4 linked regions of the Saccharomyces cerevisiae S288C genome follow. The gene in region 2 interacts genetically with the main gene of each other region. Each region holds a gene or a part of one and is shown on either strand. Other genes may lie near its edges. The genes, in order: CDC42, YPK2, TOR2 and PNT1.

Region 1 (6,243 bases), on a different chromosome or scaffold from region 2:
ACTTTGCACTAACAGATTTTAATGACGATTATGTGTATGATTCTCCCGACATGATTAATAATATAATTGGATGCCCTACATTGACTAAAGTGCTTTCTCCAAAAGAAGAATGTGTTCTGCGAATTAGATCAATAATATTTTCTGGCATGAAATTTTTAGAGAAAAATGACACCGGCGTCATATGGAATGCCAGCAAATATAAGTTTGATTTAATAAGCCCAAATATTAAAATAAAACGCCAAATAGCATTATCGGAAATTTCCTCCAAAATAAATGTAAAAACACAACAGGAAAGAGTAGTCTCTTCGAGAAAAGTTGAGGCCAAAAGAGATGAACAACAGCGCAAAAGAGCCGGGAAAATAGCTGTGACAGAACTGGAAAAACAATTTGCAAATGTCCGGAGAACAAAAAAATTGTCTCCGCTCCCAGAAAAAGATGGCGTTTCTTCTGAGTTGGTAAAACATGCTGCTTCACGAGGGAGAAAAACTATCACTGGCCCACTATCCTCTGATTTTCTCTCATATCCAGACGAAGCAATTGATGCTGATGAGGACATCACCGTCCAAGTGCCAGATACTCCTACTTGAGAGAACAAGTAATGGTGAGGGAAAAAATCATAATATGAAATATATTATGACGACGTCAATTAACGTCGTCCACGCCTGTCGTCGTCAACCCACGAAAATATGGGGGCGGTTTTTATAACGGTTATTAAAACGACGGGATGCCGTCTACGGCACGGACAAACCCATCGCTTTGGAAATAGGTGACTGCGCTTGAAAAACATAATTATTTATTAGCATAATAAATTCAAGACAGCAAATATATATGCTGTCAATACGTACATATTAAGCCTAAATATTCTGTGGAAAAAAGAAACAAACTGGTAATTATGGAGAAAGCTTTGGAATTAGACGGAGAATATCCGGAATCTCTGAGGGATGAATTCAACATCCCTACATTTAAATCCATGGGACTATCGTCCGACGATAAGCCTGTGACGTACTTATGCGGGAATTCTTTAGGTTTGATGCCGAAGTCAACTAGGAATTCAATTAATGCTGAGCTAGATGCGTGGAGCGATTGTGCTGTGGAATCGCATTTCAAACATCCTGAAGAAGCCAGAGGAAAGGTGCCTTGGGTCAGCATTGACTTACCTATTCTTCCACTACTAGCCCCCATCGTGGGTGCTCAAGAAAATGAAGTTGCAGTAATGAATAGTCTCACTGCAAATTTGAATTCATTGTTAATTACGTTTTATAAACCTACTGAGAAAAGATTCAAGATCCTTTTTGAAAAGGGCTCCTTTCCATCAGACTATTATGCTTTCTACAACCAGTGCAAAATTCATGGAATTTCGGAACCTGAGAATGTTTTTATTCAGATCGAGCCACGCGAGGGAGAGACTTATATCAGAACTCAAGATATCCTGGATACCATAGAGGTAAATCAAGATGAATTGGCGCTGGTCTGTTTGTCAGGTGTTCAGTATTACACGGGGCAATATTTCGATATTGGCCGAATCACCTCATTTGCCCACCAATTCCCCGACATATTGGTTGGATGGGATTTAGCACACGCTGTAGGGAACGTCCCATTGCAACTTCATGATTGGGGTGTTGACTTTGCCTGTTGGTGTTCTTACAAGTACTTGAATGCCGGGCCTGGTGGAATTGGTGGCTTATTTGTCCACTCGAAGCATACTAAACCAGACCCTGCTAAGGAAAGTTTGCCAAGATTAGCTGGTTGGTGGGGCAATGATCCTGCTAAGCGATTTCAAATGCTGGAAGTATTCGAGCCGATTCCAGGAGCATTGGGATTCAGGCAATCTAATCCAAGCGTTATTGACACAGTGGCATTGAGAAGTTCATTGGAATTATTTGCGAAGTTTAATGGTATTAATGAAGTTCGTAAAAGATCGTTGTTGCTGACGAACTATATGACGGAACTGTTGGAAGCCTCCAAGTATTACAAACACCCTTTAAGGATCGAGAAATTACCATGTTTTTTTACAATATTAACTCCAACAAGCACAGATGAAGAACATGGCGCCCAATTGTCACTTTACTTCGATTCTGACACTGGAAAAGAGGATATTATGCCCAAAGTTTTCCAATATTTGCATGACCATGGTGTCATTGGCGATGCAAGAAGACCAAACGTAATTAGATTGGCTCCTGCTCCCTTATATAATACATTTTCAGATGTATACATTGCGGTGAATGCACTAAATGAGGCGATGGATAAGTTGTAGTCCTAGAGTGACCGCATCGCCTTCATCTTCTTTTGGATATTATATATGACGTAGTTTGAAATTCGTATACTTACTGATAGCGAACCTATAAATTTATACTTTCTTTCCAAGAATTAAAATAAATATCTGGGCCCGTGTATTACTTACCAGTTGCCGTGCATAGTCGTGAATCTTCTTTCATTTATCAACCTTCTTCCAATAATGAAGCTAACTTATCAGTGGTAGTACTGTTGAACGAAACAAGCCGGAACTCAAAAGGGTAATTTCGTGAAAAACAATCATCTACGGTATAAATAACAATTTAATTTACGTCTCTTTCGAAAATGCTCGTGTAGCTCAGTGGTTAGAGCTTCGTGCTTATAGCAACATTCGGTTTCCGAAGTTTCTGTGCCAAAGACCTTTCAAACAGGCCTTTAAAAGCAACGCGACCGTCGTGGGTTCAATCCCCACCTCGAGCACTTTCTCTTTTTTTTTTAAAAAAAGTTGCATTATTTCTATCAACTGTTGTAGCTACGTTACACCTAATTTTGTATTGTAGACTGTTAGATAATCCACATATACAGGTAAATACGGCACATTGTCTTCTAAACATCGCATTAAAGATGTCTTCCACCGTCGATTCAAGGGTCATTCAATACGGGTAATACTGCTTCCATTGGGCCCTTCCAAATGAAACAAGATACGGGAAAAAGTGATAAAAAAAAGCAAACAAGGTTGATTGATCGATGATAGACGCGATTCTTGGAAAAGGCAAGAGCAGCGTTTTGATAAATAGGTTCCAGGTGTACCGAGATATACTGATTATCCTTCTCTGTCATTCTTCACTTTTTGCAATAGGTTTCCTTTGTCGCAAAAAATTATATTCGTTATTTATTATACTATTCTATTTTCCTGAGGAGATAGGTTAACAAACGAATTAGAGAAGCAAAACTTATAAAACAAGAAATAAACGTATTAGCTCTTCCACAAAATGCAAACGCTAAAGTGTGTTGTTGTCGGTGATGGTGCTGTTGGGAAAACGTGCCTTCTAATCTCCTATACAACGAATCAATTTCCAGCCGACTATGTTCCAACAGTGTTCGATAACTATGCGGTGACTGTGATGATTGGTGATGAACCATATACGTTAGGTTTGTTTGATACGGCCGGTCAAGAAGATTACGATCGATTGAGACCCTTGTCATATCCTTCTACTGATGTATTTTTGGTTTGTTTCAGTGTTATTTCCCCACCCTCTTTTGAAAACGTTAAAGAAAAATGGTTCCCTGAAGTACATCACCATTGTCCAGGTGTACCATGCCTGGTCGTCGGTACGCAGATTGATCTAAGGGATGACAAGGTAATCATCGAGAAGTTGCAAAGACAAAGATTACGTCCGATTACATCAGAACAAGGTTCCAGGTTAGCAAGAGAACTGAAAGCAGTAAAATATGTCGAGTGTTCGGCACTAACACAACGCGGTTTGAAGAATGTATTCGATGAAGCTATCGTGGCCGCCTTGGAGCCTCCTGTTATCAAGAAAAGTAAAAAATGTGCAATTTTGTAGTCATATTAGTATATGCCCATCTTTTCTTAATCTATATCTAAAATTAACTTATATATACACCTTCCTATCCTTTTATTATCGTTGTATTTCATTTTTTCGCTTTGCTCAGAGTTGATTCTCTTTGTTTCTTGCGCCAGGATCATCCGTCTGTTCAAGGCGGAGTAGTGCAAAAAAGTCGAGCCGTCAAGCCCCAAACGTTCAATACTTCCATGTTCTTCAACGCTAAACGCGACATTTGCGAGTCCTACCACGTCTTCTCCGTTTACGGGCAAAAACACCTCTTAACATCAAAAATTTGGCTTTCGTGCTTTTTTCTGAAATATATTCGTTGCATAGACACGGTATGCATATGAAACATTCAGGCTAGCAATCAATACTTAAACCCTTTACGGGCGTGCATGATGTATCAGGAAACCAGTTTGAGAATGTCGCCCACCAAGCTCCATGGAAAGGCGCAAACCAATTACGCGGAACACAAAAATGGGCCTTTTTTTGATCGCCTCAAAGGCCGGACCAGGTTCGTTAAACGTCTGTAGAGGTGCCGAACAATTTTTGTCTAGAATAAATTTCCATTTTTCTGGCATTTAATTCTAGGCTTTCTGGTCTCTTTGTTCTTGCAGCTAGCCCATTGGGTGCTCTTCAAAATATGTCAATATCACCTTGATTTTGAAAATGCGCCCGTAAAATTGGACTTATGCTACAAATATATTCTACAGGAAAAGATCCGCAAGGTCTGCTTTAGCGTAAAAACGACCTCCCAGTATTTTATATAACCTCAGCCATTTCACTGAATGATACATAGTAGCATATATAGCTAGGCCTAAATGTATTTTTTTTTACAACTTTTTAGATCGCTGCGTGAAGGATGAAACTTCATATGAGTACGGACGTTTGAAAGGGTAGAGTGGCGCTAGCATAGAAATGCCATTTCTCGGAGGTGTCATCATTCGAAAAGAACTCAATTTTCAAGCGATTGAGATTCAAAGGCAAACCGATGCCTCCTCATTGGTCACATCTTCATGTAAACTGTGGCTGCTTTTTTTTCTAAATACTCTATGACTACAGCTTTCCTTTGTACAAACTCAAGTTTATTTAATCGTCTTTTTTAATGTTTATGTTCAACATACCCGAAACCACTACAAGACGGAAAATACTAGAGAAACATCAACAAATGAAAAAAAAAGGCTACAATCCTCGGATGAAACTGATAAAAACGAGCACAGTATATGCCGAGTCGTAGCATTTAACGTACTAACACTACTCGCCAAATCATAAGAGCTTCATGCTGACGTGTGTATCTATATCGCTTTTACAGATCCTGCAACCGACAGAGCCGAAAACGTAATTGGTGACTCGTTCCTCGTTCTTGTCGGAAAAATTTAAACGAGCGCGTTCGATAAACTCAACGAAGGCAAGTTTGAACAATAGATGTTGGTCGTAATCATTCGTTCTTCGACTTTTATAGCCTTTTTTTTAACTTAACGAACTCGTACTATCTAATAGTTTATTTCCCCTTGTTTTTTTTTGTTACGATTGGGGAAAAGCAAGGGTTCCCTGCGTCTACGATTACATCATCTACTAACTAGTCACCGAAATCGATTATCGTCGAAGGAGAAGCAACCAAGACCTCCACTTTTCAAAGGCACAAATAACATTTCGCCTTTACATAATATAGAGGAGTTAAGTCGACGGTTTTTTTCATTTAAGGTTTATATTTCGTTTATCCATAGATCTCCATCTAACATAACATGACATCCGATGATGGGAATGCTGGACAAGAAAGAGAGAAGGATGCTGAACTGATTGAGGTTGGGGGCAAGAAAGTGAGCAAGACTTCGACAGGGAAACGGAAGTTTCATAACAAGTCCAAGACCGGTTGCGACAATTGTAAAAGAAGAAGAGTAAAATGTGATGAAGGCAAACCATTTTGCAAGAAATGTACAAACATGAAATTGGACTGTGTTTACAGCCCTATTCAGCCAAGAAGAAGAAAAGATTCTTCGTCGTCAAAATTTGCATCAGCGGTCCACGATAGGGTAGGCAAGAAAAATCTGAGTGACAATGCCATCATGTTACAACAACAACAACAGCAACTTCATCATCAACAAGAACAGCAATTTCGTCAACAACAGCAAGTTCAGTTACAGCAGCAACTGTTGCCACATGTTGGTACTGATGAACAAAGCAATTCCCCTAATAGCGTTCCTCCATCCGTATCCAATAATATGGAGAATCTTTTGTTACCGCACCTATTAGCGAGTTTAGTGAATAACACCAGTAACAGTACCAACAGCAGTGCAAATGGAGCTGAAGCGCATAATAATATAACACAAACAGCTCCCAGTTCAATGATAAACAACAACCACCCAAACATGGCCCTACCAGGGAATTCGCCATTGAGTATACCGATAACACCTAGTTTTCAATCAACGGCCATGAATTT
Region 2 (7,801 bases):
GCTTATGGAACAATTTGTAGATTCAATGGATACAGATGAGCTACCAGAGATTCCGTTAGGCAACTACTATCAACCCATAGGCGAAGTAACAACAGACACCACTCTCCCACTTCCCTCTTTAAATAAAGACCAAGAGGAAAACAAAAAGGATCCTCTTAGAATACCCACGGTTTTTGTCTACAGGCAACAACAGGTGCTACTGGAATGGATTCACCAACTGATGATCAATGATTCCAGGGAATTTGAAATCCCAGAGCTTCCTGACTCATTGAAAAACAAAATAAGTCCTTACACGCACAAGAAATTTGATAGCACAAAATTGGTTGAAGTGCTCGGCATCAAGAAAGTAGACAAATTAAAACTCGACTCCGAACTAAAAACTGAGCTTGAGAGGGAAAAGATCCCGGACCTAGAAACGCTATTGAAGCGCGGTGAACAACACAGTAGGGGAAGTCCAAACAATAGCAATAATTAAAAAAGGTCTAACATCCTTTGAGTTATGTTTTCGTCACCACAGTTAAAGAGAAAAAAAAATAAATAGCGGGTAAATAATTGTCATACTACTGATTTGCATTGTTACCTTGTAACTTTGAACACTAGCCATGCAGGTTGCTTTTCCTCCTTTACACCTTCCCCCCTGTCGCTGTTCAAAAGTAAATGCAACAACAATAAAACGTGGGTAGAGGACGTTCCCTGTATGTACTAAAATCATACTATCATCCGTTGAGGTCGAGCGGTTCTCTAATCTCAACACACGCTGCTGCCCCTGAGCTTGCGAGCTAAGGACAACAGGGCCAACTTGTTCTTTCTAGGGGGGAGAGGCCCAACTTAGGCTCGGTGAAGAGAAGCGCGGAGCTCACGAAAAGGGGTGGTGTCGCGCACTACTTTTTTCGTGGGGAACTTACGTGAAAGGGGACGTTATACTTTTGTTATGTGCAGTTCCAGGAACAAACAGGGGTTGAAAAGTGTAAAAGAAATAGTTGATTCTTTCAGAATCTGGATGACTGCCGCCCGAACAATGTGGGAAATATAAAAAGGTACCGTTAATATTGTTTCATTTTCGAAGATAGTGTTCCATGTCTTTCTTCAGCGTTGCTTGAACAATAGGATAATAAGAAGAAGATCAACCAATCTTTCTCAGTAAAAAAAGTAACAAAAGTTAACATAACATGTCATTTCAAATTGAAACGGTTCCCACCAAACCATATGAAGACCAAAAGCCTGGTACCTCTGGTTTGCGTAAGAAGACAAAGGTGTTTAAAGACGAACCTAACTACACAGAAAATTTCATTCAATCGATCATGGAAGCTATTCCAGAGGGTTCTAAAGGTGCCACTCTTGTTGTCGGTGGTGATGGGCGTTACTACAATGATGTCATTCTTCATAAGATTGCCGCTATCGGTGCTGCCAACGGTATTAAAAAGTTAGTTATTGGCCAGCATGGTCTTCTGTCTACGCCAGCCGCTTCTCACATCATGAGAACCTACGAGGAAAAATGTACTGGTGGTATTATCTTAACCGCCTCACATAATCCAGGTGGTCCAGAAAATGACATGGGTATTAAGTATAACTTATCCAATGGGGGTCCTGCTCCTGAATCCGTCACAAATGCTATTTGGGAGATTTCCAAAAAGCTTACCAGCTATAAGATTATCAAAGACTTCCCAGAACTAGACTTGGGTACGATAGGCAAGAACAAGAAATACGGTCCATTACTCGTTGACATTATCGATATTACAAAAGATTATGTCAACTTCTTGAAGGAAATCTTCGATTTCGACTTAATCAAGAAATTCATCGATAATCAACGTTCTACTAAGAATTGGAAGTTACTGTTTGACAGTATGAACGGTGTAACTGGACCATACGGTAAGGCTATTTTCGTTGATGAATTTGGTTTACCGGCGGATGAGGTTTTACAAAACTGGCATCCTTCTCCGGATTTTGGTGGTATGCATCCAGATCCAAACTTAACTTATGCCAGTTCGTTAGTGAAAAGAGTAGATCGTGAAAAGATTGAGTTTGGTGCTGCATCCGATGGTGATGGTGATAGAAATATGATTTACGGTTACGGCCCATCTTTCGTTTCTCCAGGTGACTCCGTCGCAATTATTGCCGAATATGCAGCTGAAATCCCATATTTCGCCAAGCAAGGTATATATGGTCTGGCCCGTTCATTCCCTACCTCAGGAGCCATAGACCGTGTTGCCAAGGCCCATGGTCTAAACTGTTATGAGGTCCCAACTGGCTGGAAATTTTTCTGTGCTTTGTTCGACGCTAAAAAATTATCTATTTGTGGTGAAGAATCGTTTGGTACTGGTTCCAACCACGTAAGGGAAAAGGACGGTGTTTGGGCCATTATGGCGTGGTTGAACATCTTGGCCATTTACAACAAGCATCATCCGGAGAACGAAGCTTCTATTAAGACGATACAGAATGAATTCTGGGCAAAGTACGGCCGTACTTTCTTCACTCGTTATGATTTTGAAAAAGTTGAAACAGAAAAAGCTAACAAGATTGTCGATCAATTGAGAGCATATGTTACCAAATCGGGTGTTGTTAATTCCGCCTTCCCAGCCGATGAGTCTCTTAAGGTCACCGATTGTGGTGATTTTTCATACACAGATTTGGACGGTTCTGTTTCTGACCATCAAGGTTTATATGTCAAGCTTTCCAATGGTGCAAGATTCGTTCTAAGATTGTCAGGTACAGGTTCTTCAGGTGCTACCATTAGATTGTACATTGAAAAATACTGCGATGATAAATCACAATACCAAAAGACAGCTGAAGAATACTTGAAGCCAATTATTAACTCGGTCATCAAGTTCTTGAACTTTAAACAAGTTTTAGGAACTGAAGAACCAACGGTTCGTACTTAAAACGAATGATTTACTAATGGCTTAATGATTTTCACCTTTTTCAATGAATATTAACGGTAAAGAAGAAAATTTCAATTTTTTGAACACATACTTTATATACTTAATAGATCCATATTTCGACATATTAGCAAACGATTGCATAGGTTTCTGAGTCTTTTTTTTTTTTTTTTCATAAGGAGGAGAATATTTTGGTTAATCGCAGTATCTTCTTCATAAGTGCTGTTTCTAATTATATCTAATTCACGAATTTTTCCCAAATTAGCGTATCCCCGAATTCAGATTACCTACCCCGAGTTTTTTATTATATTTCCCTCGAGAAATCTGTAAAATGGCCGTCATCCTTAGATTTATAAATAAAATGATAAAATTCAGCCAAAGTGCTCCTAAACCAGAATTGTTCAACTGGGTCAAATTATCGCGTATACAAATATACATATAGTAACATGCATTCCTGGCGAATATCCAAGTTTAAGTTAGGAAGGTCCAAAGAAGATGATGGGAGTAGTGAAGATGAAAATGAAAAATCGTGGGGTAATGGCCTGTTTCATTTCCACCATGGAGAAAAACATCACGATGGTAGCCCGAAGAATCATAATCATGAACACGAACACCATATAAGAAAGATCAATACAAATGAGACTCTCCCAAGTTCCTTAAGTTCTCCAAAATTACGTAATGATGCATCCTTCAAGAATCCATCGGGGATAGGAAATGACAATTCTAAGGCTTCCGAAAGGAAAGCTAGTCAGTCGTCTACTGAGACGCAGGGACCGAGTTCGGAATCCGGACTAATGACAGTGAAGGTGTATTCTGGTAAAGATTTTACTCTTCCCTTCCCTATCACCTCTAACTCTACTATTTTACAAAAACTACTAAGTTCCGGCATCCTTACTTCATCATCCAATGACGCTTCCGAAGTTGCAGCCATAATGCGGCAGCTACCACGATACAAGAGAGTGGATCAAGATTCAGCAGGGGAAGGCTTGATAGATAGAGCTTTTGCCACTAAATTCATTCCTTCCTCTATATTGTTACCTGGGTCAACAAATTCAAGCCCATTACTTTATTTTACAATTGAATTTGATAATTCTATTACTACTATTAGTCCAGATATGGGAACGATGGAGCAACCAGTGTTTAACAAAATATCGACATTTGATGTAACAAGAAAATTACGATTTTTAAAAATCGATGTCTTTGCAAGGATTCCATCCCTACTTTTACCCTCTAAAAACTGGCAACAGGAGATTGGCGAGCAGGACGAAGTACTGAAGGAGATTTTAAAAAAAATCAATACAAATCAGGATATCCATTTGGACTCCTTCCATTTACCTTTGAATTTAAAAATCGATTCTGCAGCCCAAATAAGACTATACAATCACCATTGGATTTCTTTAGAAAGGGGATATGGTAAATTAAATATCACGGTGGACTACAAACCTTCTAAGAACAAGCCTCTCTCCATTGATGACTTTGATCTATTGAAGGTTATCGGGAAGGGTTCGTTCGGCAAAGTGATGCAAGTAAGGAAAAAAGATACCCAAAAGATTTACGCTTTGAAGGCTCTGAGAAAAGCATATATTGTATCGAAATGTGAAGTGACACATACTTTAGCGGAGAGGACTGTCCTAGCAAGAGTTGACTGCCCCTTTATTGTTCCGTTGAAGTTCTCATTCCAATCTCCGGAGAAGTTGTACCTAGTATTAGCTTTCATTAATGGCGGTGAACTGTTCTACCATTTACAACACGAGGGACGATTCAGTCTAGCACGCTCCCGTTTTTATATTGCAGAACTATTATGTGCTCTCGATTCATTACACAAACTTGACGTCATTTATCGTGACCTAAAGCCTGAAAACATTCTATTGGATTACCAAGGACATATTGCACTGTGTGATTTTGGGCTTTGCAAGCTGAACATGAAGGATAATGACAAAACAGACACTTTCTGTGGTACTCCCGAATATTTGGCACCAGAAATCTTGTTGGGGCAGGGCTATACTAAAACAGTTGACTGGTGGACATTAGGTATCTTACTGTATGAGATGATGACAGGGCTGCCACCATACTATGATGAGAACGTTCCTGTTATGTACAAGAAAATTCTGCAGCAACCGCTACTATTTCCTGATGGATTTGACCCTGCGGCAAAAGACCTATTAATTGGCCTCTTAAGCAGAGACCCAAGCAGAAGACTCGGCGTTAACGGTACAGATGAAATTCGTAACCATCCTTTCTTTAAAGACATCTCATGGAAAAAGCTACTTTTGAAGGGCTATATTCCGCCTTACAAGCCAATTGTAAAGAGTGAAATAGATACTGCAAATTTTGATCAAGAGTTCACTAAGGAAAAACCGATCGATAGTGTAGTGGACGAGTACTTAAGTGCAAGTATTCAAAAGCAGTTTGGTGGGTGGACGTACATTGGTGACGAACAGTTGGGTGATTCTCCTTCGCAGGGGAGAAGCATTAGTTAGAAGCAAGCCGAAGCAAGCCGAGCCGAGCCGGACGGAATTTATAGCTATAGCCGCAAGAGGTTGCAATTTTCAAAAATGGATAGTTCAAGTAGATTGCGATACGCACTCCGTTACTATTGTGGTTAACGGGGACAAGAAGAACTACAGAAAATAGAATGGTCCGCAGAGGCTGCGCTCTTCTTTTAGCAACTCTCACACGACTTATGTTGCTTATTCATTTCTTTTACAGCATTATCAGAATTCTTCCATCTACGGAATTGAGATCAAAGACCGACCTGTTGTCGGCCGAAGGACGGACGCTTATACCCGCGGATGTCAAAGCGAAGCCCGCGGGGCGCAAGTCGAGGTTACCGGAATTCGCCAAACGGCAAAGGACCCTTGCATTGCCTGAAAGGAAAGATTCGCTTTTCTGTTTGTTGCCACTTTTCTTACATAGTCTGGGCCGGGAGCAGCTTATTTCTTCCGCGGATGATCCTGGATTTCCTTGCGCGGGCTCAGCCATGGGGAGCCTTACCTAGTCCCGTAAAGGGAAAAAGCTAACCTCATTCGCCTCACAGGGTGAAAGCGTGAACAAAAAAAAAAGAAAAGCTTAATGATTAAAATTTACAGTATATATATATTTGTATTTACGTATTAAACTATATATAAATAGATATGTATGCCGAAAAAGTAAAGTCTGGGTGATGCCTAGTCCAATCTTTCTTACTACTGTCCAGTTTCTATCGTAGCAGTTAATTATACATAGAACTGTGTAAATTCAACGCATTAATTTTTTTTTTTTTCACTTTCGCAGTTAGGGGGGACACATTTTTTTTGCCCTTTCTTAAGCTTCGTAAGCGAGTTACATCATTATTTCTTCCTGGGATACAATACGCGTTCGTACAAGTCACAGCTGGACCGTATAGGGAACAAGACTGCAACTCTCTCCAACTTGTTAAACAGAGGAGGAAAAGAAAGAGGGAAAAGAGGAACAAAGACAATCAAAGAAAAAGAATAGAAAGCAGTTGCTGAGCTCTTGGCATATTGTATACGGTAGTGGCGTATAATATAGTACGAGAATTAGAAATATGACGAATATGGCGGAGGATAAAACAAGTATAAGCAAGGTACATTCTGAATTCAGCAATTCCTCGAATACCACTGGATCTGAAGAGGAGAGTCGGTCGCATCAAGAGAGCTTCGACGGCGAGTCCAGTTCCGGTGAAAGTAAAAGTAAAAGCAAACTAAATCTTGAATATTCTGCAGATATCGAGCCATTGAAGTTCAGAATGACAAAAACTAATAATACAAATGACAAATTAAAATATAGTAACAACGGCAACGCCACTGATTCATTTATGAGACTAAAGGAACATTTACAGAGAGGCAATACTTTAAATTCGAATCTTAGGGTCAATGAGTTTTACCCTTTCAATTCCATTGATACAGAGCAATTTGAAAACTATTTGAGAGAGCCAAAATACATTAAAATGTTGAAACGTCGGAAAAACCTGAAACAATTTAGAAGATTGTTTCTCGCGCAAGAACTAATGGCCTACGAAGGTGAAACGGTTACCTCCACTTCCAAATCATCTGAACCAACCTCTAAAGCTATATGGAGTACAAAGTTTAGCCGCGATGGAAAATTTATGGCCACTGGTAGCAAAGATGGTAAAATAAGAATATGGAAAGTTATTGGCTCTCCAGTTGAAAGAGCCGAATTGGACTCGAGTGCGGAATCAAATAAAGAGGCACGAGCCAAGTCGATGCGGATCAAACAGCAGGTCAGTTCATTGAACAATCCAAAAGAAAAACAATTTTTGGATTCTGCTACAGAGAAATACGAAGAGAAGGAAAAATTATTGAATTTGTATGCGCCTGTCTTTCACCCAACGCCTTTGCGACTGTATAAAGAACACGTGCAAGATGTTCTGGATATAAATTGGTCTAAAAATAATTTTATTTTGTCAGCATCGATGGATAAGACAGTAAAACTATGGCATCCCGATAGGAAAAATTCACTTAAGACATTCATACATCCTGATTTTGTCACTTGTGTGGAATTTCACCCCACCGACGATAGATTTTTCATTAGCGGCTGTCTGGATCACAAATGCAGGTTATGGTCTATACTGGATGATGAAGTTAGCTTTGAGTACGATTGTCAAGACTTAATAACATCTGTTACATTATCCCCTGAGGAGGGAAAATACACTATAATAGGAACATTTAATGGATACGTTCATATTCTGATGACCAGAGGTCTCACTCCAGTTTCTTCATTTCACGTAGCTGATAGACAAACACAAGAACAAAACGCTCACGTCATGGTCACGGAAACTGACTCAAAAATTCGTCATGGTCCACGTGTGACGGGTTTGCAAGCTTTTAGATCTCAACTGGACAATTCTTTCCGCTTAGTAGTTACATCGAATGATTCGAGGATAAGAATTTTTGACTTAGAAC
Region 3 (11,285 bases), on a different chromosome or scaffold from region 2:
TACCAACATGGCCCTTGCATTTCGAATGGCATTCTTGTGCTCGTTTTCCACCCTTTGAACTTCTTCTTCGGTAATAGCCCCATTACTCAATAGCTCATTGGCATTCATCACGGGAAGTTGAATGCCCGTTTCTTCCTCAATTTTCTTTGTTGGTAAGTCAAAACCCCAATTGATCAAAGGATCGAAAGCAAAAGCTTCAAGGATTGCCATTAATGAACCCTTGTTATCTCTAAGTACCTTCATAACATTCTCACAAGTAATACGGAAGCTACCTTCAATTCCACTCACTTCCATTGCATATGTTAACATTCTAGTTAATCTAAAAGGTACTTTTTCGGGGAATTTTTCTCTTAATATAGCAGCCTCGAAACAATCACCAAAATCAATATGAATGACTTTCCCAGTGATTCTATCCAACATCAAATTACTAGGGTGGCGGTCACCTAACCCCAATATATAACCGGTCATGGACATCACGGCTAGCGATCGAGTGTAAGTAGTTCTACGCTCCAACCACGTTTCCGATGACCTACTCTTCAGCCATAACACCTTATAAAGATCTTGTCCCTCCGTATTATTTAGGGCGTAAGTGAAGACTTCTACTTTCTGCAACAACGTTAAATTGTCATAATCAGGTGCCATTTGTAACATGACCCAATGCTCAATGTTTAAAGGAATTTTTTTGGCTTCTCTATGCTCCCTAATTAATACATGGAACGTGTCACTATTCGGTACCCAACCCAGTAACCCAGACTTCGGAGATAATGGGATTGCTGGATATTGCTGGATATCTAGATGCCTTCTAAAGCACTCAGCGTCATTTTGCAAAAGCGTGTTAACTAGTCCGAATAATTGCATGACCAAGCTATCCTGTCTAATGTCTTCATGTCCTTTCAACACATACTTATAATCTTTACCATCACTACCCTTGATACAAAACTTTCTCGGTCTTTGTTTGGATGAGATTACTGAAAATACTGGCTCGAATTTAGATATTTTAACAATTGGTTTTCCACCACTTGCACGGGTCCCGGGGACAGCCAATTCCAAATCATGCGCAGATAGTAGTTTTGGCGACACATGTTGTAGTTCAAGAGTTTGTAATTGTGGCAACTGTTTACCAATTTTCCTGAAAACATTATAGTAAATGTCCCACGCTTGGTTTAAATTACTAACATCTTTAGATTTTTTGTAATTCATCAGCCATTCGTAAGCGTCATTCAAGTCCCTACCAAAAGAATTTTGGAACGATATTTCCCTCAAAGTTTCCGGTCCTCTCTTCAGCATTTCGTACAGAGGCTCTAAAGCAGCAAACATTTTTTCGGTATTATGTTCTCCAAAAAACTGCCTACTGGCGTCATCCAGACCCTCATACCATTGCTCATGCCAAAGCACCGCCATACGTATCAATTCGTGGCTGACAAGTTCAGCCTGGTCGACCAAAACTGGACTATGTATTCTCATCTTTTCTATGATGGACAAAGCTGCTTTCTGTCGTGAGAGAGATTCGGATTTAATCGCAACCATTAAGGGGTACACTAATGCCTGCGGATGAGCCTTACCTAGATCAGATAATAGGGAGAGTAATGACCTACTAACAATTTGATTGGGTTGATGAATTCTAGAAATTAACTGTGGCAACACTTCTAACCATGTGCCTATTTGGATTAGGTTGAAACCCTCGTGCATAGCTTGGGTTGCTTCTGGAATACCACCAAAAGTAAACCATAAAGTTAATAACCTTAATGCATCTTGAAGAGAGCTTGATTCTGATAAAGAAATGGAATGAAAAAAACCCTTAATTGCTGGAATTACGTGCCTGTGTATTAAATTAGAAGAGTAATGAACTTCCTTAGCATCAAATGTATTGACGCCGATCATGCCATTATCAAACTCATTAATATCAGTTACCGAGGAAGCATCACTTCCTTCCTGTTTCTTTTTAGAGACAGATGTTAGCATAGAAATGACTTCAAAATTGGCCAGTGCCCAGTTATGCCACGCTTTGTACCATGTGTTGTCAAAATGTGTAGCGAGCAAATAGGAGCCTAGGATCGAATCTGGATTGCTCAATCTCCATTTAGGCTGTAAGCAAACTCTCCATTCTCCTTGCTTCAAGAAACAACGAGCTAAAAGCTTAGTATAATCTTCAACGTGACGAGGGACTCTTTTGCTTTGTTGAGGAACGCTTTGAGCTATCATATTATTTGGATCCAAACCTAAATCATGAGCCATTCTAGATGTGAAATTAATTAATTGCTTCAAAGCCTCATCTTGCAACCCCGTAGCCCACAAGTACTTCAGTTGTGCATAAACAACTGGAGGGGATGCCTTAGCAGTATTAGGATGATCTGGGTCATCTGTTTCTTCAAGCAATGTATTTAAGACTTTTTTAGCTAGCGCCATCCTACCCGATTTTCTGCATAAGTTGGCAAACTTAATCCTCACTTGAGCATCCTCCTTTGGCTTTATCACCAATGATCTGACACGCAGAATTCTTTGCCACACATCAATATTTTTTTGACAGCCCAGTAATCTGGTATTCCAAGTTTCTCTCATAGTTAGACGTTTATCTGAATTTTGTGGCAACTTCTTATATTTGATGATTTCCTCCAACTCTGCTATAATCTGCGCTCTAACAACAACATTATATGCTCTATTGTAGCTTTCATTAACAAGAGCTGACAATTCAGTAACTAGAAGATCCCTTGCATTAAAGATGTGAACTTCCGCCTTCTTAAAATTATTCCTATGCAAACATAAAATTGCATCATAGAATTCTTTATCTGGAGACTGCGATTTCATGACGCTAGTATACTGGGCTATTTCATCCCATTGCTCCAAACCCCAGGCAGCGCCGGCAGCCAAAGGCGCCATTGCCTTCTTCACTTCGGGTTTTGCCGTGCCCCACTTTTCAGATGCCAATTTAGAAAGCTCTTCCCACTCTCCAAGGGCATATAACGATCTTAATTTTCCCATCATCACTTCAACCGAATCTTCTCCTGCTGCCTCCTTCTCATTATATGCTGCAAGAGCATCCTCCCAACGTTGAAGTTTTTCATACCAAGTTTCCTTCAGCTGCAATTCATTGTGTTGTTGCGCATGCTTCAAAATACCAATAGCAGAATCAGTTTGGTGAAGTTGATTATTAATGCTAATCAATGCCTCGATTGTTGAATTTTTCGGCTCTTCTAAGAATTCTACCTCTTTGTAATGTAGTGCCTTCGCAAAAGCATGACATTTTTGGGCATACTTACCTAATGTATGGATTGGGATAGGCAATGGTTTGTCATCGTGCTCCATAAATTCCACTAAATTTAACAACATTTGATAAATCTCGGGTGGGTTTTCAGAGGATGATAAAGCCTTGCATAATGCTTGAATCAAATCCTCTTGGTATGACGTTTGAAGCTCAACCCAGCAACTTGAGAATGAAGCATTAAACAATTCTCTCGCCAACGGATAATAAACGCTGACTAAACTCGAACAGGATCGTAGACAAGCTGAAGGTGATTCCTTTAGAAGCTGAATAGATAGCCTTCTTATCCATTCTTGCCAATCTTCTTTGGTCTTCTGTTGAGAACAATACCATGCATTCTTTAGGATATTTTGGTTTACCGGTAATTTCGTTACTTGCATTTCGTCTTCATAATTTTTCCTTTCAGGTACTTCGTTCTCCTTGTCAAATATGATATTTGTTGGCAAGCATTCATTGTTCAGTAATTTATTAACCAGTTGATCGTACACTGAATGCTGAATCCTATTCCTCAATAACGCCTTGTTAATCACTGGCACAAAGACCACAAAGTCGGTACCTAGTTGTAAAAGGAGCAAACTTAGCGTATTCATGGTTGCTTTTGTTAGTTCTCTATCCCCATTATTCAAAATTCTTACCAACGCCTGAACAATTCTTGATGACATTTCAGAGAGGTTGATATTCTTTGCTAATCTACCCAAAGTTATAATGGAGATTTTCTTTAGACTTCCAGCAGAATACTCAGTCATTCTAACAACGATAGGCATAATCAAATGGGAATAGTCTTCTAGATTCGGCCCAAAAGTAACCAAAGATTTTAATATACGAATCGGAACGATCCTTTTATTAGACTGGTCGTTCTCAAGAATATCAAGGAAAAAGGTTAGAGTCTCGGGAACAAATCTTTTAAACTCACCTTCCAGAGCCTTAGATATCGATTCTATGACAGAAATAATTGTGATTTGTAGTTTAATGATCGGGAAAAACTCCCTGATCACACCATAAATTTTCTCGACATGGGGCCTAATATGTTGCTTGACAATTGAGATGAGAGATCCCAGTTGCTGAAAATAAAAGTCAAGTTGGGACGGCGGGCATGAACGCATGACTAAAATGATACCTGGAATAATTTGATCCAAAAAGGAGACACATCGTAAACCAAGGTTTTGAAAAATATGCATAATAGCTTGAATAGCAGCCGTGTGATGGATTGACAACGATGGATCATTCAATATCTTCATCAGATTGTGGATAACTACAGTGGGGTAATATTCATCGTTGGATGGAGATACCCCTTGCATTAGCAATGCGATGTCGATTGAAGGAGCATTTTGCTCTACTGAACTCTTTGAGTTTGATGTGACTTCTATTTCTCTGTGCTTATATGGATCAAGAGCGCCTAATATACCAATCAAACGAACAGTTCCACGCCTGATATGAGGGTTGTTTTCAGTCTTAAGAATATTTATCAAAATGCCAAGTAACTCTGGGTAGTCTAGTAAAGGGCCAACAACATAACCAGAGGAAGCAGCCAGCTGTCCTAATGTTGTTAAGGCGGCATCTCTTTTAAAAGAGTTTGATTGGTCCTGAAATGTGTTAATGATCAATGGCATCAATTCCTTTAAGTAACGCGTCATTTCTTTTCCTCCAACAACAGATAGTTCACCCAAAACCTTTAAAGCGGTGGATGCTACGGCAGATGAAGCATCCTGGCATTTAGGAAGAATGACGTCTAGAATAGGATCAATATAAGGTTTCGCTACTTCATCGCTGGAATTTATCAGCGTACATAATAGAGTTGCACTTTCCTCCTTTTTTTTTGGCATATTTGAGAACTTCAATTGCGTTAATAGTTCCAGTAAAGTTTTCCTCAAAGAAGGAACTACATAAGCGGGGTTGACAGAACTCAATCTGCCTATTATTTTGATAGCTTCCAATTGAATACCAAAAATCTCATCGTTCAGCGCCATGAAAAGTAGGCGTAAATTGTCTGGTTGGGCCAATTGAGGATCAAAATTTGACCCCAAATGCTGAAGAATTTCCAATCTAATTTCTGCAACCGGATCAGTTATTGCGATCATTAATAGCTTACTTAGCACTTCAGAAACCGAGTGTAAAGCATGAACTGATGTTTGTTTACATATATCGTCTTTGATAAATAAATCACACGACGTTAATGCTGCCAATTTTCTGACAGACGAATCCTCATGCTCAATGTAAGAAATGGTTATAAGCCTAACAAACTCCGTCAAGGAATATTGATGATGAATTAGTTGCAGCATTTTAAAACACTGAATCAAAATTTGGGCATCTGTAATATCGTCATTAGATTCACCAGTTTTTTTCATGAAACTTTGGTTTCTTGATTTACGAGCCTTTTCAATGGAAAATTGATTATTAAAATCGTATTGGTTTGATTGAATAAATTTTTCACCAGATAAGGATATCGACAGTAAATTTAGTATCCTCGAATTAACGGTAGATTCCAAAGAGGGTATTTTCTCGTTAAGGATCATTAAAGTCTCCTGCATATGGTCGGACATTGGACAGTTTAACATCAAATTAAGAAGATCTTTGTTCAAGTGCTTAGCAAAAGCTGGGCCCAAAGCACAAGCTAATTTACCAATGCAATAAAATAAATCCTTCTCGAATTGTTTTCTAACTTTGAATTTCGTTCTTAAGCCTTCCCTAATATTATCCAGAATAAGTGTCATATAGGGTGAAATGCTCGAACCAACTTCAAATGCAATATCACCTATAGAAACTAATATAAAAGGTTTATCCGAATTATTTGCAGCATTCATATCGATGTTCTTCAAATATCTTAAATAATGAACCATTATCCTATCGAGATATTTCTTTGTGAAAATGGCAGGGTCAAAAGCAGCTAAAAGAGGTAAAATAGCATAAACTTCTCTCCTTATAACATCAAATTTATATTCCTTGTACTTCATAGTAGATTTGTAAATATCATCATATTTATCCCTGAGATAAGGTGCTTTCAAGCTGAGTAATTCTCGAAATACCAACAGAGTAGCATGCACTGAATCATTCGTATTGAGACTTAAGCCATGTGTACAACCTTGAAATAATCTTTGAAACCACTGTTTTCCCAAAGCAGGGTCTCTATCCTGAATAATAGTAAGACATTTACCCAATGCCACTGCGGCATCTAATCGTATAATTAACTTTGCATCCCTTAATGGCACCCAAATATTGTCTAAGATAGAGTTAACGTAAGGGTATAAAAGATAGGGTGAATTGTCTGCTAATGCCTTTATGATTAATAGCGCAGCATGTCTCCTGTATTCCAACTTAGAGCTCGATGAGTTATTATCTGCTGTCAGAGTAAGCCAATCAATGCAAGTTCTGACCTCAAATTCGACGAAATCTGATGTTAATGTACCACCTGGCACGGTCAATCTACCTAAGGTGTTAGCCGCTAATCTCATAACTTCAATGTCACTGGATGGAATTAAAACACGTAAATAGTTCGCCAGTCTTGAAGTTTGGTTTGGCAGCTCCTCTGTACTCAGGTAGAATGAGATCAGAGTATCAACAGCAAGAATACCACCTATCTTCTCACTTGAAGTAAACCCGTGAATAAGTTCAAATATCTTATTGTTTAAACTGTTGCTAAACCTTTGAAATTGCTCAGCAGATACTTCCCTTGCTAATGAGGTCAAAGTAGTGCTTAATTCATTAGCGCCAGAGGCTCGTTCTTGTGGCACATCGCTTTTAAGTTTATCAAAAATCAAATTTAAAGTAGAAAATGTTGTATCTAGTTCTGAATCTACAAAGGATATTTTACCAATATGACCAGCAGAACCAGTGATCACTCTACCAGAGTCATTGGGCCCATTGTGATTGGAATCTGTGTTTGAAGTAGTTGACATCTCATCATCGTGGGAGTGCGATTTGTGTGTAAGTTTCTTTCTTGTTCTGTGTTTGCCTTCGGCCCTTTGTCGTAAAGACAATAAGTTAGGTGGCGTGGTGTATTTGTTAATGTATTTATTCATTTTTCATATGGGGAAAGTAAAGATCAGAAATCTCTTTGAGAAAGATAACTATTTGATCTTAATGACTATGCTCTTTATGCACCCGGTATATTTTCCCTTTCTACTGCTCCTAATCTACCTGTAAATAAATACAAGTAAAGCTCAGTTAAGGAAGTGATTGGTGTCACGATGATAAAAATTGGTCTTTCCTACTGTCATTACATTTCTTCCAATTTTAATTGCTGCCATATATGTCAGTCTCTATTCAAACATATTCAGTGCTTAAAAAGGAATATCCGGGTAAATATTCTGACATCGCCCAAGAAATATACGATATAACTTAAAGAAAAGAGTTGTAGTAAGCTAATAGCATTAAGATTAAATGTATGTTTGATTAATTGCAATATCATGATGTTATAGAGTAACGTGGTATAATTACCACGATTCCGTCGAATTGTTTGCCACTTATCACTGGCGCCAAAATGCAGCAGTATGTAAAAAATGACGGTAATAAATATATAATACAAATGCATAGAGGAAAGGCTATAGAAATGAAGAGATTCATGAATTTTCAGTCAGGTTCTCCGACTTTTAATTGCTGTGCCCCTCCTCCTGCTTCTTTTTTTCCTCTTCTTCGTTCTTCTTCTTTTCTTCCTCTTCCTGCTTCTTCTTTTCTTCATCTTCATTCTTCTTGTTTTTCTCTTCCTGCTTCTTTTTTTCCTCTTCTTCGTTCTTCTTCTTTTCTTCATCTTCATTCTTCTTATTTTCTTCATCTTCATTCTTCATCTTTTCTCCTTCTTCCTGCTTCTTCTTCTCTTCTTCTTCCTTCTTCTTTTTCTCCTCTTCCTCCTGCTTCTTCTTTTCTTCTTCTTCCTTCTTTTTCTTCTCTTCTTCTTCCTTCTTTTTCTTCTCTTCCTCTTCCTTCTTTTTCTTTTCTTCTTCTTCCTTCTTCTTCTTTTCCTCTTCTTCCTTCTTCTTCTTCTCCTCTTCCTCCTTCTTCTTCTTCTCCCTCCGCTTTCTTTCTTCAAGTAACTTGGCATAAGCATAGTCCTCGTATACAATAATAGGGTCCTTATCAAACATTTGAATACCCTTTCTGTTAACGTCGGATAAAGTTGGCGCAAAAAGGTCTAAACCATATGAATTTAAATCCAAAAAGGAGTTGCTACTAAAGTTTAAATTTGATTTAAAATCCACAGGATTTACTTCAACAGTATTAGCAGGAGTATAATCTTCTGTGTTATCATCTAGAGTTGTTCCAGTTTCATCAAAAGTAATGTTGAAAAGTGAAAAATTCCTGTATTTCAAACTTTCGGACAGATCAATAATTTTTCCGACATATTCTTCATGAACAATCTTGGTAACTTGATCTAATGTAGTCTGGTTCATAGATTTTGATAAATCCTTCCACATAGCTTTTTCATAACCAAAAAGAAATGGGTCCTTTGCAGGGGAGCTTAACTTAGGAGCAACATTAATGCGCAATTGATGTAATAATTTCTTTTTTTCAATAAATGTCAGGTTTTGGCAGTATTGAATTTCCAATTCCTTTTGCCTATATGCAGTGACATTGAAGGAATTGTACAAGTTAGTAAATACCTCGATAAAGCCAGCTTTTGGAATATTTTTATAAATTAAGCGAACATCATCCATGGATAGGTTTTTGAAAGAGTATTCAGAGACTTTGTTGGAATCAAAAAGTTTCGACTCAAATTTCGTAGACGATATTTCTTTCAAGAGGTTCGGATTCCATGAATTAATACTGGGGATGTTTGGATACCATGAATTAATATTACTGCATTTCTTTAACCCGTCATAGTCGAACCAAAATCTAAATTCGGGCAAATAAGCAGTATTTTTGTAAGCATCAAATGCATATCTATCAGGTACATGATATTCATTGTGCAAGCAGTAGGTATGTCTGTGAGGAATCAACGCTGGCACACCATGGAAAACAGTATTGATTAAGGGAGATAGTTCCTCGAACGAGTTAAAATGGTTGTTTCTACAATTGTAAAGTTTAAGTTTTTCGTTGAGAAAATATCTTTGTTTAGGATTCAACTTGTTTTCAATGGTCTTAGACTTTGGTAACTCTTCCAGTTCCTTTTTCAAAAGATCTTTCAAATCAGTATCAGTGGGGACTCTTTTATGATTTTTATTTTCGTCGCTGGTAATGTAATCACGTAGCTCAGTGATGTTTAGTGTAGCCATATTGACTAACCCATCATCTACTTTGTCGGGCAAAGTAGCGGTCTCACCGTTCGATTCAGGGATATTATTGATATCCAAATGTTCCTCTTGCAACCGCTCTTCAATATAAGAATTCAAGTAATCCCTACTAGGGGCAGAAGTGCTAGCTAGACCGGTAATATCAATGTAAAGGCCGGTGTCGACGTCAATGAATCTTGCATCGATATTGTTTTTACCGTTACCGTTAATTCTTACTGTCAAGGAGTCGCTGACGTCTAGGAAATAACGTCCATTACCCTGTCTTGGGTCTTCCAATATAAGAGATTGGTTGAAGTATTGACTGAGCAATTGTAAATGCTTAATGGGCATTTGCAAGTCGAAATCGTTATCCCAAGGGAAAGCCATTCCATTGTAAAGATAGCCGTACAGCGTTCCGTGAGACAACCAAGATATGATGCCGTTGGCTTTAGTAAACTTTTGGAATGTTCTGATCATTGAGTTCAATCTAGCCTGGTATTCTTGTTTATCATTGATTAATGTATCAACATTGAAGAACCTCTTGTCACGATGGAACCCCATACCTTTATATTGCTTCACGGCACCAGCCTCATAGAAGAACTTTCTTTGCAATGCAGGGCTTGTCTTTACGGAATTCTTCAAACTGTTCAGATAATTCTCATTATGAGCGGAAAATTTGTCCGGATAGAGTTTCTTCTGTTCCTCTAACTCTTCAATTTTTTTGGAGGCATCGAACTTGAAATCCGAAGGGGATAAATAAACCAAATCTTTATCAAAAGTGAATTTATCAGTTTCTTCAATTTCCAGTTTGTATAGGGAGTTAACTTGGTCGTTATTGACGAATTCCTGGAAAAGCCTGTTATGGTTGAATTCTACGTCCTGTTTATTTTTCTTTCTCTTGTTCGTAGAATTAATGTTATCATTAATATATTCCTGCAACAGGCCGGATTGCACCAAGTTTTTTGATTTTTCAGTTTGCAAGGGGACTTGATACGTGGAATTATCTGATTCGATGATGGAAATGGATAGTGGATGCGACTGTGTAGTCAAAATGTAGTTTCTTGCCTGCAATTGGTAAACTTCGGGTCTAACTTTATCATACAGCTCCTTTATTTGAAATTGCGTATTAAATCTTAAACCCTTAGGAGAGCCATGCCCGTCTGGAGTGAATAGCTTGGAACAATGCTTTTTTAGTTCCTTTGAGTCTTTGATTCTGTCCTGGTTTCTAGCGGCCTTGTACCACAGTTTCTGCGCGTACTTTGGTCTTTCGTATAGGAACAAAGGTTCGCCGAGCTCTGTCTCAATGGCCTCTAAAGACTCTTTGTCGAAAGCGGACTGGAAAAGAAAATTGCAGGGCAGAACAGTTTTATCTATGGAAATCAGCTTATTCAGCTCGTGGAAGGTTGTCCAGTCGTACCATGAAAAGGGTAACTTTTCTGGCTGATCTGCGTCATTATTTTGCAAATGGTTCAGCACAACGGACCACGTGAGACGAGGGTCGAAGTCGTAAAACTTCAACTCATCCACGGATTCGAGCTTACTGCCCTTTCGAGGGCCCATTTTGACCGAGAGCAGGTCATTTTGCAGAGTATATTCATTGACCCATTTAGGGTTGGTGCCGAATTTTAAATTTTCGTATAATGTCTTAGCGAACTGGATCTTGCGATCGTTTTTGAAAGACGAAGTCAGGATGCTATACCAGGAATCATCATCACTGTCAAGTTCGTTGTAATTTGGTAGAAGGTAATCAGCGTCCCGCCCAAGTCCGTTACGCTGCGGTGAATTTGACCAGATAAACGTTATAATGATGATCTGCAGTAGAA
Region 4 (6,748 bases), on a different chromosome or scaffold from region 2:
GAAACGGTTAGAGTCTGTTCCAGAATTGTTCTTACATGATTTCAAGAAGAGGCCACGCTCCCAACTTGAGGTGATTAGAGAGAAAAAATTTACTGACATGCAAGTTCCCAAGGGACCAGTTTGTCCTCAAAGCACGATTCTACCATTACGAGAAAGAAAGAAGGTAAAATCACTACCAATTCAAAGAAAAAGTTTACGTAGGCCGACGCTGTCAAAGCCTGCAGTAGTACAATCTTTAGGGCATAAGACACATTCGGATCATATTATTGATAAAGTGTTTGTCTCTCGCCCGGCCCCAATTGTAATGCCTGTAAAAGCCCTTACTCCTATTAATCCGGTCTCCCTAATGCAAACACAGACACAAGATTGCTGTAGAAAAAATAAGTATGGCAAAAGCGGTAGTGAAATATTGTTTGACGAAATTCTATCAGCCTATGAAAACGTTTCTACAAGCGATTCTACTGCCCTAAATTCAGAAATTGACAGAATTATCGATATATGCGCTTCAAAACAAATAGCTAAAAAAAATGAGGCATTTCAGGTACCATATGTCGTCTGCCCTGACGACACAGAGACTTTGTTTTCGTCAACAACACCAAAGTTGAAACCTGTCAATTCTAACACATTAAACGATGTCATTTCTAGCCCAGAATACACCACGTCTGGATGCAGTACATACTCTGACCAATCGAATTCAGATGAGGAATTGTCCGAAGTAGAAAGTATAGTATGGAACACGAATAAGAGGACAATGAGATCATCCATTGTGTCTGAAAGCACTAGTGAGGAAGGCTATTGCACTGCTGCGGAGACTTTGCCCTCAACAGTATCAGTGGAAGATCTGGATATACATAACAAGCTTCCAAAAGTTGCACAAACATCATCGTGCAATACGCTTTTGAATAAACTCTCTATAAGAAAATTAAAAAAAGTAATTCTCGATCCGCCTAAAATAATGCATGTCATGACTTTTGACGATGACAGTGATGATGGAGATGACAACGATGACGAGGATAGGGCTTTGAATATTCTTCAAAAAAAAATTGACTGCATTGAAATAGCAAGTTGCAGCAGTAGCATTTACAGCGAATAAAAAAATTTATTCTAGGTTTCAAGTAAAATCATACGTATATAAGTAGAATAATGGCATGAGCGGTGACACATTGTGTATTTGCACCAGAGGTGGTCATCAATAGAAAAGTGTCACAATTTCAACGATAAATGGCCGCTTATGTCGCACCTTTTGTAGTATTACCCGCAAAGGATCATAATGAAGAACTACTATGGCTACATATAAACAGAGCAGTTAGATACAGTGCGTCTTATAAGGGCATTTTTGAGCATAAAGCACAACAGGTTGAACTCAAGAAAACTACATTTCACTATCAATGGCACCCACACAATTGGATATAAAAGTCAAGGCCTTGAAGAGGCTGACTAAGGAGGAAGGGTACTACCAACAAGAACTGAAAGATCAGGAAGCACATGTGGCAAAACTTAAAGAAGACAAGTCAGTTGACCCATATGACTTGAAGAAACAGGAGGAGGTCCTTGATGACACAAAAAGATTATTACCTACTTTATATGAGAAGATTAGAGAATTTAAAGAGGATTTAGAACAATTTCTAAAAACTTACCAGGGTACCGAAGATGTCAGTGATGCAAGATCCGCTATTACGTCTGCACAGGAATTACTCGATTCTAAATAATCTATAGATAACCTTTTTCTTACCTTTTCGCATTTATTTTGATGCAGGTTTTTATACTTTATTATGTACAAACCTGTTGCGGATGAATAATAAATCTCGCTAGAAAATGCACGGAATATTATATGCAAAAGTAGAAAAGTGGAAGACGGCTGTTGATACAGTGACGAGATATAAGAACATTTTACTCTATATTTAAAAAGAACTTTATTAATCTATTTAATTGAGTTAACACCTTTAATGCCATCGATATGGATTCTCGAGTTGCACTGGTACGAAAATACATAGCACCATCGGTGATAAAAAGCGATTCTATTCAATTGCACGGTTTAGTGAAGGCACCACTATTTAAAGCGTTGAATAGCCGTTACAAATTAGGTTCACTACAGATAGTACAGGATGTCGATTGGAATGCGAAGACAACACCATCCGATTCTCCAGAGCCTCTGGCCGCTACTCTAAACTCTAATCGATCCCTACCAATGACTAAGTTCCCCAAGCAGGAGATCTTGGAACAGGTAAAATTGGATACTAAGGTTGGCAAATGGAGGAAATTCATGACAGGTTGGTTTAGAATTGGATTGTATCTTTTAAAAAGCTATAAAACAGGAATTCAGAACACGTTAAAAGTATTCTGGGATACTCGAAACGAAGAGCAGAAATTCAGCATAAAAAACGGTGCATTGGCTAACTTAGTACGGGAAATAGAAATGCATGAAATCAATACAAGACTATCGTCTTCATCATTGCCTACAAGTTCTTCAGCAAAAGCCCCATTAAGGCCACTTTCAATCAATAGGAAAACACTGGTGGAACTGATCAGACGAGATCAAATCTGGAAATTACCTGTATTTTTCACCTTAGTATTCATATTTGAGGAGGTAAGTGTATTGATCTTTACCTTTTTTCCACGTGTCTGTCCGTACAATTGTTTAACTCCTGGTGGATACAAGAAGCTTTCCAACTCATATATCAAGGGAACAACAAGCACACAAGGTAACTACGGTCTGGGTCCCTTAGAGTTTACTAAGCAAGGTACAATTAAGTATGAGCCACCATATGCAGTTCCTATTGAGAATTTGTATAATTTTCTGACAAGCTTTCCTCAAAGTATGATATCAAACTGGAAACTGTATATTTATAAAAAGTTAAAATTACAGAAGCTACTTTGCAATGAGATAGAAAAAATTTACCAGTATCTGTTTATCGATGACTGGTTGCTGTTGCAGAGTATACTCAACACTGATGTTGAGAAAACTAAAATCGCGCTAAGTGATAGAGAATTGGTTAACTGTATACTTGAAAGAAAACTTTATCACATGGGCGATGACTTGAATGAGATGGTTAATGACACGTTAGGGAAAGAAATCTTACTGAAAAGATTGTTTCTTTATTGGACATTAAGATATAATGACACTATATCCTTAAACGGAAAGCATACATTCAGTGAGAAATGGGGTGTCAACAATATATCATTGTTAAAATATAATTCAGAATTGGTAGCTACGAAAGATATTCAATAGATGTAAATATTCATGACATTATCTATGCTGTACATATTGTTTAAAACAAAAACTCTTTTAAACTTTTCTAATTGCAAATTCAAACAATAATTCAGTGATGTTTCTTGCTTTTGGAGCAAAGGGCAATGTTACTCTATATTGTATGTATAATATGATAGATACTCTTCCGTATATATAGTATATAGATTTTCGTCAAGCGTTTCAATTGGAAAGTGAAAGAAAAAAATAAGAAAAAATAGAAAATACAATTAAATTAATCGAAAAAAGAAGTGAAAATAATTGAGTAGTTCGTATTAAACCTTGTAGGTCTCTAAGTGAGCATTTTCCTCCCTAACCAATGTATGGTGATGGCCAGGCGCTCTAATAACTTTATTTTTTGAATCCATGGTACAGGCAGCAATGGCGGCAAACCATTCATCATTAAAAATATCATCTAAGGTTGCTCTTTTCTTTGGATCTACTTGCAGTATACGGGACATGATAGGTCTTGAAGCATGTGGTAGTAGACGTAATAGACGGTATGGGCCATGAATAATTTTTTTATGGTGAGGTCCTCTGTGCTGTTGACTCGATTTATTATCGGAAGCGATACTATGGGCCTTGTCTTGATTTTGATGCTGGTGATGATGGTGTTGTTGTTGTTGTTGTTGTTGTTGTTGTTGTTGTTGTTGTTGTTGTTGTTGTTGTTGTTGTGGATTGTTTTGGGGAACCATATCAGGGTTAGCGTTGGCAGCAGTGTTGACGTTAGTATCAACTTTAGCGTTACAATCCGATTCATTGCTGCAGTCATTGTTAGCATTACAATCCGTTTTGTCATTGCAGTCACTGTTAGCCTTGCAATCCACTCTGCCGTTAGAGTCACCATTAGCATCGCAATCAGCGTCGGCATCGGCATCTACTTTCTTTGGGTTAGCTGAAACTACCGTGCTTTTATTCTCATTTTTGCTTATTTTAATATCGATGGTACTTTCCTTGTCATTATCTGGCGTGCTTTCTTTATCATTATTGCTATCATCTTCTTTATTTTCTTCGGTTTCTTCTTCCACAATGTCTGGTTTGTTATCGCTTTTACCCTGTATAGATGCTGGAGTATTTGGAACTTGATTTTGAACTGTTTTCAAGTTTGATTCATGAGCTGGTTGTTGCTGATTGATGGCGGAACAGTCACTGTGATTCAAAAACCTTTGACGCTTTTCTTTTCTTTCCTTCAGTAACTCTTCGTGATGCCTGGCAGATTCAACATAGTCGTGTTCTATATCATCCGGCATACAATATAATCTAAAATTATCGTCAGAATCTCTAGGGGCTTTCCATGGAAACCTTTTAAGCACCATACAACAATATATGATCCCAATAGACCATATATCGACGCACTGAGGATCATAAGATTTGGTGGAGGTAATCACTTCCGGCGCTAAGTAAGGGTCACTACCCACGATTCCATGAGCCATCGTTACGCCATCTTCAAAAGGATATCTGAACACAACAGCACTACCAAAATCAATTAATTTCAAAATACCCTGGGAAGTCATGACACAATTATCCAATTTCAAATCTCTATGTGCCAATCCCATAGAATGTAAATATTTAACACCTTCAGTCAATTGCTTCAAGCAACAGTTGATCTCGCCACGAGACATCTTGCCTGTCATAACAACAGCAAAAAAATCAATCGGACAGTACTCCATAACTTCATAGTATTTATTTTGTTTAGAATCAGAGAAAACGTCAACAGTTTCGATAACATTTGGGTGATGTAAAGTCGAACCAATACAAAATTCTGCGGTGCACTTCTTGGCATATTCTTTCACACTCTCATTCGGTTTCCTTGGTCTGAATTCTTTGACGGCAAAAGTAGCACCATCAGTTGGTCTCACAAGAACTTTAACGGACCCACCGGCACCGGAACCCAATAACTTACCCAATTTCCCGTATTTTTGAGCCAGAATACAATCATCGTGATATATATTAATATTATTGGACAAAGATAGGATAGAATCGGTACTTGGCGGTATAGCAGACTGGGTATGAGCATAGTGGTCTGTAAAGCCATGAGGATGCTGGGCACGATAGTGATTATTTAAATTAACTGTAGAAGTTGATTTTGAAGGTGGGGGGGAATGGGTGCTATGTTTCTTGGAACGAAGTTGAGACATAGATAGTTTTTTATTTACAGAAGGTCTGAAAAACCTTTTCAATTCTGCCATGGAGTGGGTTTGTTTTGGAGAGGCGGGAGAAGTATAGTCATGGAGCCCATGAGAAATATTATGGTGGTGGTTTGTTTCATAGTTATTATTGTAGTTGTTTGTTGAGATACTGGTTGCATTAGAATGGCTATGGGTGTTGTTATTAAGGTTTGTTGTAGTATAATTTGTAGTGGTTGTGGTAGATTTCATGGAATCTGTAGATTTCTCGCTTCTTAGTGAGTCATTACTTTGTTTTCTACCAATGAAGTTTAAGAAAGATTTAGAACTTCTGATCAACTGTGGCGGGTTATTAGACGAATTTTCACGGTCATGATGATGGTCATTATGATGACCATGGAATGGGTTTCTCGACAATAGATTAGGCATCTTTATACGAGAAATAGTTCTACCGTATTATTATAATTATTAGTGTTATTATTTTTGTTTTCGATCAATTCTAGCGGAGCTACAATGTGGTAGTCAAACGCTGCTATTGTATTTAATTCCGGCTCGAGACCAGTCTGGAAAGTCGACGTATATCGTTACTACTATCCTTTTTTTATTATTCCTACTATTTCCTTATTGAAAAAGTGGAAAACTGTTAAATCTGGAAATTCTTCACGATTCTAGAAAAATAGGAGGTGAAGAAGATTTCTAAGCTTTTTGAAAAAAACGGGAAAAGGAAGAGGCCCAAAAAAGTGAAAAAAAACTGTGTGTGTGAAATGTAAACGAACTTTGCTCCCTCTAGGAAAAACTTCTTTAAGCGGTTGGGAACTGTCTTGGGCTTACTTGTTTGTAAACAGTTGTATGAATGATTCTATATGCTAATTCTCAGTTTGTCTCTCTTAAAGATTTGTCACTCTGAAATATATAGCCAAATAGAACTAGGCGAAGAAAAAGAAAAGGGGCGGCGACGACGTAGGGGTCAGGTAGAAGAGTTGGGCACTTATTGGCGATATAAAAGACAAAATACACTAATGCAAGAGTATGGTGAGCGAAAGGAAAATAAAGAAAGGCTACGTTATTGACGGATATATGAATCAAGACACAAGACTATTTTGTATAGTAAGCAGAACCGGCTTGTGTTTGTGATTCATGGATCAACGAGACGGTAGCGAATAAGCACCAACGGAAAAAAAGAAAACATACGCATACATGCACGTACAAGATAAAAAAAGCACAGGTGTGGTGGTAGTATTGGGATAACCAGGCACACGCTACTGCGAGATAGCAAAAGACCCTTCCCGTAAACCGCTCGGATAAACCGATTTTGTCCTTTAGCGTGACACGGATTATACGCGGGGATCCGGCGTCACAAGCCACGGCCCGTCCC

Evidence for each region.
Region 1: mutations in YPK2 (region 2) and CDC42 together harm fitness more than expected from each alone (negative genetic interaction), as found in Saccharomyces cerevisiae (2 studies listed by BioGRID).
Region 3: of YPK2 (region 2) and TOR2, extra expression of one rescues a mutant of the other (dosage rescue), as found in Saccharomyces cerevisiae (3 studies listed by BioGRID, with this or other methods).
Region 4: mutations in YPK2 (region 2) and PNT1 together harm fitness more than expected from each alone (negative genetic interaction), as found in Saccharomyces cerevisiae (2 studies listed by BioGRID).

Annotation. Positions count from the first base shown.
Region 1 is NC_001144.5:601,769-608,011, reverse strand, and holds CDC42 (Rho family GTPase CDC42), read left to right. Parts: upstream 1-3,224; coding exon 3,225-3,800; downstream 3,801-6,243. Other genes in the region: EST1 (Est1p), read left to right, coding at 1-587; BNA5 (kynureninase), read left to right, coding at 893-2,254; ECM22 (Ecm22p), read left to right, coding at 5,549-6,243. UniProt on the Saccharomyces cerevisiae protein: Involved in development of cell polarity during the cell division cycle, and essential for bud emergence. Affects signaling in the pheromone-response pathway through the STE20 protein kinase.
Region 2 is NC_001145.3:470,975-478,775, reverse strand, and holds YPK2 (putative protein kinase YPK2), read left to right. Parts: upstream 1-3,322; coding exon 3,323-5,356; downstream 5,357-7,801. Other genes in the region: ATP-dependent DNA helicase YKU80, read left to right, coding at 1-475; YMR105W-A (uncharacterized protein), read right to left, coding at 518-712; phosphoglucomutase PGM2, read left to right, coding at 1,170-2,879; YMR103C (uncharacterized protein), read left to right, coding at 5,512-5,874; LAF1 (Laf1p), read left to right, coding at 6,424-7,801. UniProt on the Saccharomyces cerevisiae protein: Plays an essential role in the proliferation of yeast cells. Involved in a signaling pathway, required for optimal cell wall integrity, that acts in parallel with the PKC1-SLT2-dependent pathway.
Region 3 is NC_001143.9:56,085-67,369, forward strand, and holds the start of TOR2 (phosphatidylinositol kinase-related protein kinase TOR2), read right to left. Parts: upstream 7,276-11,285; coding exon 1-7,275. Other genes in the region: MNN4 (Mnn4p), read right to left, coding at 7,846-11,285. UniProt on the Saccharomyces cerevisiae protein: Phosphatidylinositol 3-kinase homolog, component of both TORC1 and TORC2. TORC1 regulates multiple cellular processes to control cell growth in response to environmental signals. Nutrient limitation and environmental stress signals cause inactivation of TORC1.
Region 4 is NC_001147.6:819,066-825,813, forward strand, and holds PNT1 (Pnt1p), read left to right. Parts: upstream 1-1,957; coding exon 1,958-3,229; downstream 3,230-6,748. Other genes in the region: DSE3 (Dse3p), read left to right, coding at 1-1,093; RBL2 (Rbl2p), read left to right, coding at 1,389-1,709; putative serine/threonine protein kinase HRK1, read right to left, coding at 3,523-5,802; YOR268C (uncharacterized protein), read right to left, coding at 6,469-6,748. UniProt on the Saccharomyces cerevisiae protein: Probably involved in mitochondrial export. Confers resistance to the anti-pneumocystis carinii drug pentamidine. May act by the removal of pentamidine, or its damage targets, from the matrix by an active-transport mechanism.